2 linked regions of the Bombyx mori genome follow. The protein of the gene in region 1 binds, or shares a complex with, the protein of each later gene. Links are inferred from orthologs where the notes say so. Each region holds a gene or a part of one and is shown on either strand. Other genes may lie near its edges. The genes, in order: paired amphipathic helix protein Sin3a and sin3 histone deacetylase corepressor complex component SDS3.

Region 1 (6,107 bases):
GACCTACTGAACATACTATTGATACACAAATAAAACCAAAAAAACATGGCTGAAAAATGTATAGTATTGTATAGCTCTCAAATATATTAAGTGTATAATCTATGATGTATAGTGAGTAAGTAAGACAGGAGACCGGCTTCGTCCTCATCCCTACTACGTGATGTTTGCTGGATGAGTGGTGACACCTGGCGGGGATAGCTGATCGATTGATAGTTGATCAGTAGTCGACCGGCGAGGGCGGGAGATCAAATTCAATTTAAAAAAAATGATAATTAAAGGAACTTGAAATTATAAACTCTGAATAAGAGTTTATCGTACTACAATTATAATATTTGATTGCCATCTTGCAACCTTATTGCGGATCTGTGCATAGAATAAAAAAAATATTGATCGGGATGGAAAAATAGGGGTTGATCGTATAAGAGTGAAAATTGAGAGTAATATATTTTTTTTTTATTTTAAGTCATGACAAAATACAAACAAAATTCTCGCAAAAATTTTTAAAGTTTTTTATTAGCAAATAAAAAATAAGGGTTGATCGTAGAGGGGTGAAAATTGAGGATTGTATGTATTTTTGTATGTTGTATCATAAAAAAATAGAAATTAAAAATTTTGTCTAAAAAATAAATTAAAAAATTTAGGGGTGGACTACCCCTAACATTTAGGGGGATGAAAAATAGATGTTGGCCGATTCTCATTGATACCGGATAAGCACAAAAAATTTCATCAAAATCGGTCAAGCCGTTTCGGAGGAGTATGGCAACGAAAACTGTGACACGAGAATTTTATATATTAGATAGATGAAATGATGATAGAACATGCGATGTGCCTTTAACAGAATATTGAATGTTGATACAGCATGCTGCCTTCCTACTGATGTTTTGACCACACTAATATTTGGTAAAATATAGCACAAACAGAAATATAATTAATTTATTGTTTTCAGTCATCTGAATCTGATAACGCGTCAGACAAGAGCGGCAAGAACGGAAAGAATAACAAAGAGAATAAACCCAAAAATAATAATAATTTGGAGAGCAATAAAGGTGAGTTTTACATATTACATGGTAATAAATGAATGAATGAATGATTATTTTATTTCAGACAACAATAAGTCCATATGTGTACATAGTACGAGGGCGGGATGATAAGTAACTAGCCTCTGCTATTCAAAAAGTTAAAATTCAAAAATTAAATATGTCATTTGTAAATTCGTCTCTGGCCACCTGTGTTCTAAATTTCAATTTGGTGGCGTAAACATTTTATTGATTTTTTGTCATTTGAAAATATATTTCGTCAAGTGTTTTCAAAATGGATAAATTTGAACAAAGATCGGTGATAAAGTTTCTTCATATGTAGAGCATGAAGGGGAAAGATATCTATGACGAGTTAAAGAATGTTTTGGGTAAATGTGCTCCTTCTTATGCCACAGTAAAAAACTGGGTGGATTAGTTTAAACGCGGTCGTACATGTGTCCAAGATGAAGCCCACCCCGCACGTCCAAAAAGCGTCACGACACCGGAAACGGTCGTGAAAGTACATGATATGGTTTTAACAGATCGACGATTGAAGTTATCTGAAATAGCTGACACTACAGGTATCTCAAAAGACCGGGTACATCATTTCCTAAGTGAGGAATTAAATATGAAAAAGTCATCGGCCCATTGGTTGCCGCGATTGCTTACGCACGATCAAAGTAGGATTCGAGTGCAAAACTCAAAAGAATGTTTGGACCGTTTCAGAGTAATAAAGCCGATTTTTTACGTCGATTTGTAATAGCAGATGAAACATGGGTTCATTATTACACGCCAGAATCAAAAATTCAATCAAAACAGTGGACGCAATCGGAATGGTCGGCTCCAAAAAAGGCCATGGCTGTAAAGTCGGCTGGATAAGTCATGGCTTCCGTCTTTTGGGATGCAGTTGGGATCTTGATGATAGATTACCTTCCTAAAGGTCAAACAATTAACAGAGAATACTACACTAATCTTCTAGATAATCTTCATCAATGTATTCAGTAAAAACGGCCAGATTTGGCGGAAAAAAAAACATTTTCCACCCTAGGGTCACACATGTGTTAAAGCTATGGCAAAAAATTTGGGCGGACAGAAATTTGCCACAAATGATGAAGTCATAGCCGCTGTAGAGGAGTATTTTACAGGCCTCGAAAGAAATTATTTTATGGTAGGCATTACTGCTTTAGAACGAAGATGGAATAAGTGCGTAGAGGTTCACGGAGACTATGTCGAAAAATAAAATTAATTTTATCATGGAAAGTTAAGTGTTTCATTATTAGGCTAGTTACTTATCATCCCGCCCTTGTATCATTGAAACATACTCAAAATTAACAAAACCAATCAAATAAAAAAGATACATTTATTAAAAGTAATTATCCGTTGAATACATTTCAAATATTCCATTCAACTGATACTTACTTCGAACCAACCATTATTATTATTACTATTATTTGGTCCGCAAGTGAACCATGGTACAACGGTTCAAATACCGACAGTCATAATGTAATGTCATGTATGAAAAAAAACATTATATCGGATTGGTTGTTTCTAATTTCAACATAGCAGCATTAATGGATATGAAAAAGCTATAAGAAGATAAATGGTTGTCTTTTTATTGTGGCTAATCTCTGAATGTGTTTTGTTTACAGAAAGTGTACTAACCCAGCCGACTAATGGAAAGAGGTTAAGCAATGATGATCAAATACTGAAATCTGACTTAAAGACTGAACCATTCGAAGTAGAAGATGATCTCAGGGATCACCCCCCTAATGTGAGTTCTCGTTTTTTTTTTAGAATTTAGAAGCAGGGGTAGGATCCTATCCATCTGACGAGCAATGCCAAGTCTCTGCCTACCAGAACCATTAAAATTAAATAGTAAATACAATGTATGTATTGTACACTGATATGGGGTACTTCACTAGAAACAGATCAATGACCTTGCTGTAATTCGAGATATGCGTAAAATGTATTGTAAGGTATGAACGTGCAAACAACACAAGTGAACAATATATTGTTCTATATAACAATGCATATGTGGGTATATCTCAACCTGTAATATCAGCATGTATATCAATCATCGAATGTATTGGAAACGCTTCGAATCGCCAGACCTGGAAGCGCATTGCCTGGAGCGGTCTTTAGGAGCATGGCGACCTAACGGGTGCTTCTGCACATGTTTTATTTTTATTTTTATTGCTTAAATGGGTGGACGAGCTCACAGCTCACCTGGTGTTAAATGGTTACTGGAGCCCATAGACATTTACAAAGTAAATGCGTCACCCACCCTGAGATATAAGTTCTAAGGTCTCAGTATAGTCACCACCCTTCAAACCGAAACGCATTACTGCTTCACGGCAGAAATAGGCAGGGGGGTGGTACCTACCCGCGCGGACTCTCAAGAAGAACATCAGTGCCAACATTTTAACAGTTTATTCACCGACAAAGACACACGACTTATTAATTTTGTAAATGTATGCGTGTTGTATACAGGAGGGCAGGTTCGTGTGCACGTCCTCGTGGTACCTGTTCCTGCGCGTGCACGGCGCGCTGTGCCAGCGGCTGGCGGCCGCGCGCCGGGCCATGTGCGCCGCGCCGCCCGCCCGCCCGCGGCACGACCGCCCTCCCGCGCTCGCCCTGCGCCTCGCGCCCGCACACCGTTAGTACACTCACACACGTTGACTGCTGAATGTTATAGGCTTTATATTAATTTGAATTATTTATTTCTAAAGGATCATCCACAAGGTGGACAGACTTGGTTAAGTTATCTACGAAGTGTTCCCTTACTGAGTGTACACGTACCGCCACAAATAGAGAAAGATGGAGAAGTCTCTCAAAAGCCGCAACCAAACATTAAGACATACGTAACCACGACCACTCTGCCAGGAGTGTAAGACTGAGAAGAATTTCTAAAGGCACAGACAAGTTCTCTAGTTGTCTGCTATTTAACAATAACAGAATGCCATAGACAATACGTATAGCGCCGTCTACCTTCAAGCATGACTGCAATTACCATTGCATTTAATTTACGATTATTAAAACTTTTCAAAAATGGATAACTTAAATATAATATAATGTATATGTGTATAATATATAAATGTAAATTTCAATGCACCTACCTTTATTTATTGTGCACTCTGCACTATCTTTGGGTGACTGGTAGAGAATACCACAGGTATTAAGTGCGCCAATGTAAATTTTACGTGAAGTGCTACTATTTGCCAGAACCACATATTCGAAAAACATTATGCTTTTACATTGTATTACTCTGTCACGTCATAATTAGAGATGAGCCAGAATTTCGTCGACCATTAACGCATCAGATCGAAATCTCAATACACTACACACCATTAGCAATACAATTATTGAATAAATTGAAAAAAAAAATATTTGAAAATTATGAATGTCTTCCACAGATTTGCCAGCGGACGTGTCGTCGCCAACAGAATACTACAACTTGTTGCTGGACCTGGTGAAGGGCGTCCTCGACGGCAACATGGAATCTTCCGCCTTCGAGGATGCAGCCCGAGAAATGCTCGGGATCAAAGCCTATCCGGCCTACACGCTGGACAAACTGGTGTCTATCGCTGTCAGGCAGGTTAGTATCTATGTATTGCTATATCAGACCTGAGGAAATACTCATCAGCACATCAAACATCTTGTTTGAATTACTCTTAGTATTGGATCATTTGGTAACGATAAGAGATAAATGATGAAAACACATGCGATGTGCCTTAAACAGAATATTCTGTGTTGATACAGCATGCTGCCTTCCTACTGATGTTTCTTATTGTTGTCAAGATTAACAAACTTACCACCTTTATGATGAGTAAAGAATATGTTTATGCTCAAACTTGATGACGTTGCTAACATGAACCTTAGCAAGAGCCGTGCTTCGTAGAATCTACCACCGGATCGGAAACGCGACCCACTGAGAAGATCCGGCGAGAAACTCAGTGGGCTGTGTCTGTGGGTTAATTTATTCGTCGAGCCCTTCGACGAGAACGATCACCGGTCATTTTGTAAAATTATACATATACTGGTGGTAGGACCTCTTGTGAGTCTGCGCGGGTAGGTACCACCGCCCTGCCTATTTCTGCCGTGAAGCAGTAATGCGTTTCGGTTTGAAGGGTGGGGCAGCCGTCGTAACTATACTTGAGACCTTAGAACTTATACTAATACTATACTCGGTGGGTTAAGACTACGTGCAGAATGTGTGTAGTATAGCTTGTATTGTCGTGTACAGCTGCAGCACTGCGCGTCGGAGCCGTGGTCGGTGCGCGCGGCCGAGCTGTGCGCGCGCGACATGCGGGCCGCGGCCGGGCCCTACGTGCGCCGCGCCCTCGCCGCGCTGCGCCCGCACCACGCCGCCTTCCTCGTGCGAGCGGTCAGTACCAAGACAACCCTGGCGACTGTTACATGTGCCCCTCAATAATAACTAACTAATTTATCACGAGCTTATGGATCCTTTAGATCAAATAACCCTTTCATTAGACGCCTTCAGCTCTAACACTAGGAGCCGACTGAGGGACCACAGTAACCGTGCAACCTAACCTAAACATCAGCCTTCTCTCCCAACTCTCTTCTACTCTGTAGTGCTCACTGAAGAAATGACTGTTTTTTAACGCAGTTTCTACTCAGGAACACATTTACCCCAACTGTTGTCGGTTCTCTGGCTAATACAGCCAGCCACTGCCACTTAAGCTTACTAATCCGCCGATCTTAATCAGTTCTATTATGCTTTAGGGTTTCATTTAGAGAACGCGAGCTATGGCGTGTTTTGTACACCATAGTAGCTTAAGATACTTACTTACATACTTAGCTCGCTGAGTTTCTCGCCGGATCTTCCCAGCGAGTCGCGATTCCGATCCGGTAATAGATTTATTCGCGAAGCAGCTGTCCTCGAGGTCTAGGCGCCGGGCAGCTGTTAGCAAATTCCACCCGCCCTGACTGAGCCTCTGCTCGCCCACTTGTCCTGGTACAACTGGGAGAGGCCTCCGGGCCACCAGTTAAGGCATTACTGAATGCATCGTCTCTATATAAAGACAATTTATTGTTGAAGCCCAGCGAACAGAATTGACTTGATTAGCGAAA
Region 2 (6,793 bases), on another chromosome or scaffold:
TGCAATTACATTTTTAACAGAGCCATTCACAGGAACACACACAGACACATTCAAAAGTGGTGATGGAGGACTCATTGCATGCATATTGTACTTATAATCTACTTTCAGATCTGTGTGGTCCTTCTCACATTTCCAATAAGAAACCAGCTGAAATGGACATGAGGATGCTCCAGTTTTTGGTCTTATCTGATATTTTAATATATCTACATTGAAGTACTGTGCGGTGGGATTTTTTTCTGACTGTCGCTTCAATAATGAGGTCAAAGCAGGCATATTGAAATCTACAACAGTGGTATCACGTGTAGATGTTGATTGATTGATGGTAACCAACTGTTTATTTGGAAGTACTGTTTCTAATCTATGTATGTTTTTTAGTCTAAAACAAAGTTTTGCAGGGTTTGGATTGTTAGCAAGCACACCAACAATACCAGTGGGGAAAGAAAGCATCATGTCTCCAGACATCTTTACTTGACATTTTGATTCTTCTGTACCACGGAAATATGAATGAATTATTTCATGGAACGCAACTGCCAACGGTATAGTATCCGCCATGCCGATTGTAAGTGGGGAAGGACCACGGGAGCCTGTAGAACCTGCAGTTCGAAATTCTCCATCAGACCTTCTTGATGGTGGACGTGGGAGAGAAATAGTAGATATTGTTGGGGTGGATGTTCGAATATTGGATTGACTCATTTCACCTACTTCTGAGAATAAATCACCAACTTCAGTATTAGAAATGGGTGTGGGACTCTCAAACACATGTGACTGATTTCCTTGTAAAGGTGCATAAGGATTAGACACATTAGCTTGAGGTGATGTGGGATTACTGACAGTTGGGCTCGGGAAGAAGTCCAGGCCAACTAGGTCATTGCTTGCTTTGCTTGTATTCACATTAGAACCCCGACGTGTTGTGCCAATTTTGTACAAGGAGATATTTTCTACGGTAGCTCTGAGCTCATCTACACTAGCAGACATTGGAGCACTACCATTGGTTATAGGTTTAATCTCAACATGAATTTTCTGCTCCCTTTCCTCTTCAGAGTCAGAATCACTAGAAGAGTATACACTGCCTTTCTCTTCTTTTGGTCTTATACAAAAACCCTCCTCATCTACTTCAGGTGAATTTATCAGATCCTCCTTAATTGGTGTTTCCTCTTGTTTTTCCTCAAAATCAGACTTGTCAGCTGTTGAGTTCATAGAGTTATCATCCTTTTTCTTTTTAGATTTTTTTTGTTTTGGCTTAGTTCTTTTGCTACGTAAGAACCATTTGGACTCCCGCAAGGTGGTTCGACCCATGTTGTCCTCTTTATCTGGAGCTACCGGAATAGCTGGAGTTCCACTTGGGCTGGAAGGGGCAGAGCATGGTGCAGCACCTTCAATGTTGATAGTGGGTTCATCTTTGCTTTGGAAATTGGGAGTGAATAAATTAAGGAGTGAAGTAGTCCTCCTTGATGTTTTAGTAGCAAAAGATGGCTCTTTTTTGGGAGCTTTTCCTGGCTGCGTAGGTTTGTGAGAGCCATTAGAGACTGTAGATATCTGATCGGCTTCTGATATAGAGTTGTTAGCTGAACCGGGTTTTGGTAAAGTTGGGGGCAGCTCAACGAGAACTGCTTTTTCTATGGAAGTATATTTTTCTATCAAGAACTGTTCTAATAGTTTTTCAACAGTCAACTCTAGACACTGGTGCTTAAAGTCCCGATGCACCTGTCCCATCATATCGTGATTGTTTTGAATTATATCAGCATAAACATTAACAAACTGTTTCATTTGTTTTAAGTGTGCCTCCTCCACATCTTGAAAGTGCTTACATGTTTGAGACATTTTCTTTTCAAAATCTTGTTTTACAAGATTATACTTTTCAGCAAGCTGCCAATAGTCTTCATGTAATTTCTTCAATTTAACCTCAGCCTTTTCGAGGTCTTTAGCAGATGCATTATCCTTTCGGAGTTTTTCAAATTCAGCAGATTTTGTAGTATAGACATCTTTTGCTTTCTGAAGTGCCTGTTTAGTATTTTGTATCAGTAATACTACTTCTAAAGTACTAGATTCAGAGTCTTTGACAGCCTTATGTTTTTTATGTAATTCATCAGCATATCTCGCCACATCTTTGACCAATTCACCCACCTTCTGGAACATGTGCTGATGTAAATTAGATAGTTTCTCAGCTGAGCATTTGAGAACGCTCCAGAAGGGCGCGAATGTACCCTGTGCGCAGTTACCGTTCGCTTGTTTTGCTAGTTTAGCTAATGATTTTGAATTAGTCTCCTCAATATTGGACCTTTCCCTTAGATATTCGGAGAGCTCTTTACTTGCTATAAGTCCGTATTTCATGTTTTGATATAATATATCATATCCATTATGCTCGTTGGCGAAATAATCTACAAAGTTAACACTCATGTTTGCAGTTGCGAGATGCTACCGTTACAACTCAGAACATTATATTGTCACGCACTGACCTGGATCCTAGGGTCGAGCTCAGTATCGCCGTTGTCATCGGCTGGGATCGTGAAAGAGGATTCCTCCATTGCACTGCCTATGACTGCGAAGCCACCTAATCGTTTAAATTACATCACCGCACAATAGCGTGAAGCGTCACCTTCAAACACTTTCAACATGACAAACTAGTTATTGAAATTTAAATTCACAACAAAATTTAAGAAATGGTTTAAAATAAAAAAAAACACAAGATAACGGGTAAGTCGGGTAATGTTACGTGCTTTGTAACAAAATAAATAATAAAATAATTTTCTTGTGCAAGATGACGTCCTCCACCGTGACGTCGTATCACAACAATAGACAATCTCATACATTTTTTTCGATTTCTGCCCAGGTAGGTAGGTACTTGGTTAAGTTTTAAATGTCATGCCACCGTCCGTTAAGTAGCTGCTTCCCTCTTCAATACTGATATTGTAAAAGAATGCACGAACAATATACCAAGGCTCCAAAAGTTTACAGGATCTAATAAATTTAATGAAAAGCATTTTAACGTAACTTGACAACATCCTTTGATAAAAAAAATATAAATTGCCAATTGAATAATGAAGATATTTTGTCAAAATTAAAAATTATCAAAGGTATGTACTCAGTATTATCTTATTGGCAGATATCAACCATTTTAACTAAATCATATTTATTTCTTATTTCTTGAAATAAATACCAAAATAAGCGTAGAATGATTTGTAGACATGATATAAAGGATAAAACGCCCGGCATATTTTAATCGATTGAAACATCCGTACGGATGTTAAAATCCTGTAGGCAGATTCAAATTTTTCCAATGGAAAACGTACTGCACGTAGCCATGGGTGAACTGGCTTCCTTATCGAATAATTAACACACGTAATATGGGTGATTATTGATACTAGGACGCATTGTAAGCCCGCTCTGGTAAGTACTAATACACTTTATCTATTTTTGCCGCAAAGCAGTTATCGGGGTGACATTTAATTAAACCATTTACCTAATCTATCTCCTACAACCCGCCACGAATTGAGCGATGTAGGAAATTGCAGCCAATGTGATCTGCACGGCAGCCATTTTAATGTACAGCCAAAATTTTGCGGGGAGAAGATAGAATTGCAGAACGCTCTTCTTATTGAAATATCACGACAAGAAACAACGAAGAAAAACGTCCCACAGAAGCTGTTTGAAAGTGACTGGCCAAGCCCACACTGGAGAAATCGTTGACATGGTTATAATTGAGCCTATCTATCGCAATTTGATGAATCGGTGGTCATTGGTAGCGAGTGATAATAAATCAGCAGTTGAATTTGCATTTTCACAATTCGTTCTATTTAATTTTTTATGAAATAGACGATATTTCCTTTGCTTTCTCATTGAACAAATCGAGTAGAGCATTGTCTTTGGTTGAAATTGTGTAATTTTAGCATAATTGTTTATGGAACCCCATATAAAGAATCTAAATTACAAAGACACGAATGATCAAAAAAAAATCGGACCTTTCACTTACACTAAGTAACAATTGTATATGACTATCTAACAAAATTGACTTTTTGAAATGACTAAATGTTATACAAATAAGTCGGTTAAATTACTTTTTAGTTTTAGTCCACTTTGACGTAAAAGTAAAACATCTTTCTGCTTTAATCAGAACTTGTTCCAGTTTCGTTTCTTTTAAGAAGTTTTTATGCCGAATTCTTTATATGAGTGACACAACTGGCTTCAGCCATTTGGTGCCCGTGTCTAGCTCGACGTTACAAGAGCGCATAAATTTATTTGTGAAGCGGTGATTGCATTCAATCTGTATGCAACTGTTACGCGTCGCCTCGACTATGTCTTACCAAGGATCACCATATTCCGGCCCGGGGGATGAATACGATTTTGAAGACGATGGGTACGACGATTTAGACGACTTCAGAGACCGAGAAGAAACCGTCCCACCTCCTGCACCAGTGTTAGACAGCGACGAAGGTTTGTTTACGATGTTAATTTACCAGCATCTATAACGCTTAATTTGTACATTATTCCACAAAAAATAACTATAACCTCAATATCTTTTCAAATTTGACATGTAAACAGAGGTTACGTAATCAAAACAAGGTTATTTGCTTTCATGTTTGCGACTCAGTGAATGTTCCCGCCTATTTCTCGGACAGCCTTCTTGATGACGTAATTTAAATACTTTCACCATTTAATATACATTATAACATTATATTTAATTACCTATTATATTTAAAAAAAAAACTTCTCACTTAGTAACACATAAAGAGTAATCCTATAAACTGGTGGTTACCTTTCGATGATTCTTCTACGTGGGTACAAATTTAAAAAAAAATAAAAAAAATGTACACAATTTTACTAACTTTACATGTACCGGTAAAATGGGGCGATTAGGGATTGAAAGGCGAATCGGGAAAAAACTGGGAAAATCTTTCGACGCTCAATATAAGTTTTATATTCGTTGAAAAATCTTCCATTTTTTTGTAGTTTAACAGTAGAATGTTGAAAGTTCACAAAACAACTCTGAATATGCATGATAATAGCTGCTAACTTATAAAAAATCGCGTTTCAAATTAACTTCCTGTGGTGGTAATTATTTTAGTGCTAGAAACTTTGCTCTCTTTTATTTATTTGCTAATAATAGAAGACTACTATGATTTATAAATGTTATTTAGTGTTTGAACCAGCATATATATTAAAGGTAAGTCTCAGTTGTTATTGGTTTTAATGTATTTGATTAAATAAAAATACATGTAAAAATTTGTTGTTTTTGGGGATATTGGGGACGTCTTAGGTACAAATAACAACGAAAAAGGGGTCAATTGGGATGAGAATACGTGAAATGGAAACGAGCTAAGTATAAATAGGTACAGGTTTGTAGGGTTGTCTATGTAGTTATAACAATATTTTTTAAATTTGTTGGTAAAAATCTGGTTTATCAAAGCGAAATTGGGAATAAGTCTTTAGTTGAAATAGATAAGCAATTTAATATAACTAAGTCGATTTTGAAGAGACATGTAACAAGATCAATGAAATCTCAAGGTGGACAAAAATGTCTAAGTAATACATAATAAAATATTTAATATTTGTTCAGAGTGGGGGTATTCATCTGATTAATCCATGGAATAACCGACACACCTAATCTCTTAACCCAGATAGAAATATCAGCCCCTAAGTACTTACCAAGAACGGAGAAATATAAACCGTTTCTAAGAAAGCCCACTATATATGTATAAATATATATTTAATATATATATATTTTGTTGTTACTGCACTGTCGATTGCACCTATAATTGAGGTGATGTCTGCCATGTACTTTTGTCAGTTTTTCAATTTTTTTTATTGATGATCACTTTGTTGATGCAACTAAATAAATAAATTAATTAAAACTATATATAAAAATAAAAGTAGTGCCAACCCTAGCAAATTTCTCATTTCGTCCCAATTAACCGCAATTTTCGGGTAAATAGGGATTACACCTATTTTTGCATTTTTTGCTTAAACTGGAATACTACTTGCATAATTTTAAATTAGACAACAAAGATGCCCCCAAGACTCAATCATTTTGATCCTGATATAGCATTATATACATCAACAACTACCTTAAAATTGCTCATAAAGTTGGAATTTGTCCCTAATCGCCCCATTTTACGGTACCCAAATATGCCTAGCTGATTGTTTTGTTAATATGCAATAGATATAGTTTAGCACAAAAACAAAACAAATTCAATGCCACACTAATGCAAAAAGTTAATCCTTAATAAGCAAAATTATTTGAAATAATAGATGAATAAGTATACTTTTTTTTCTCTAGTATAACCATACTGAATAAAATTATGCTTCTATTCTTGAGTTGTTTCTGTGAAACACAACTAGGAATATTTTGATATTATATATGATACATTGCTTGAAAATACTTTTTTCTTTGTTATTACACTAGGTTTCAAAATATAATGAAGCTATTTTAAATAAAAATATGTTATTACATTATAGAAAAAGTGTTGCAATGTAAACTTTTTCAGATACAGAAGAGGCAAGCGAGGCAGAACTACCGAACAACAATGAACCTCTGGAAGTTAAAGAACAGTATGTAAAATAATAATAATTCTTTTGAAATAAGCTTCCTTAATCATGTAAGATGTTCTGTAAATGAATTTAGAATGAGGCTAAAAGCATAAGTATGTATGTTTGCCTATTAGTCCATTATTATCTAAACATAACAGGAACAGAGCCCAAATGTCTTTCTGCACAAAGATAGTTTATGCACTGATGAAATATCACAGAAAAATCAAAGATACTTAAAAGAAACATTTGAGGTTCAGAATTCTGGTGC

What was found.
Region 2: the proteins of paired amphipathic helix protein Sin3a (region 1) and sin3 histone deacetylase corepressor complex component SDS3 are in contact, whole or in part, in an NMR structure (PDB 2N2H), measured with the Mus musculus proteins. The link is inferred for Bombyx mori from reciprocal best matches to the Homo sapiens genes SIN3A and SUDS3. Residues at the interface, in NP_001103821.1 of Mus musculus: Glu616, Glu619, Leu620, Val623, Arg672, Ile673, Tyr674, Ala675, Lys677, Asp680, Ile681, Ile691, Ala692, Ile695, Val696, Arg699, Met702, Lys703, Glu706, Trp707, Glu709, Ala710, Phe714; in NP_848737.3 of Mus musculus: Ala205, Leu207, Asn208, Tyr209, Leu210, Leu211, Gln215, Ile216, Glu218, Asp219, Leu220, Thr222, Leu223, Leu226.

Annotation. Positions count from the first base shown.
Region 1 is NC_085108.1:1,029,258-1,035,364, forward strand, and holds part of paired amphipathic helix protein Sin3a, read left to right. Parts: intron 1-946; coding exon 947-1,046; intron 1,047-2,665; coding exon 2,666-2,787; intron 2,788-3,506; coding exon 3,507-3,672; intron 3,673-4,429; coding exon 4,430-4,611; intron 4,612-5,259; coding exon 5,260-5,400; intron 5,401-6,107. UniProt on the Homo sapiens protein: Acts as a transcriptional repressor. Corepressor for REST. Interacts with MXI1 to repress MYC responsive genes and antagonize MYC oncogenic activities. Also interacts with MXD1-MAX heterodimers to repress transcription by tethering SIN3A to DNA.
Region 2 is NC_085116.1:2,412,568-2,419,360, forward strand, and holds the start of sin3 histone deacetylase corepressor complex component SDS3, read left to right. Parts: upstream 1-3,083; 5' UTR 3,084-4,265; coding exon 4,266-4,431; intron 4,432-6,482; coding exon 6,483-6,546; intron 6,547-6,793. Other genes in the region: SH3 domain-binding protein 5 homolog, read right to left, coding at 2,457-2,525; F-BAR domain only protein 2, read right to left, coding at 1-2,397.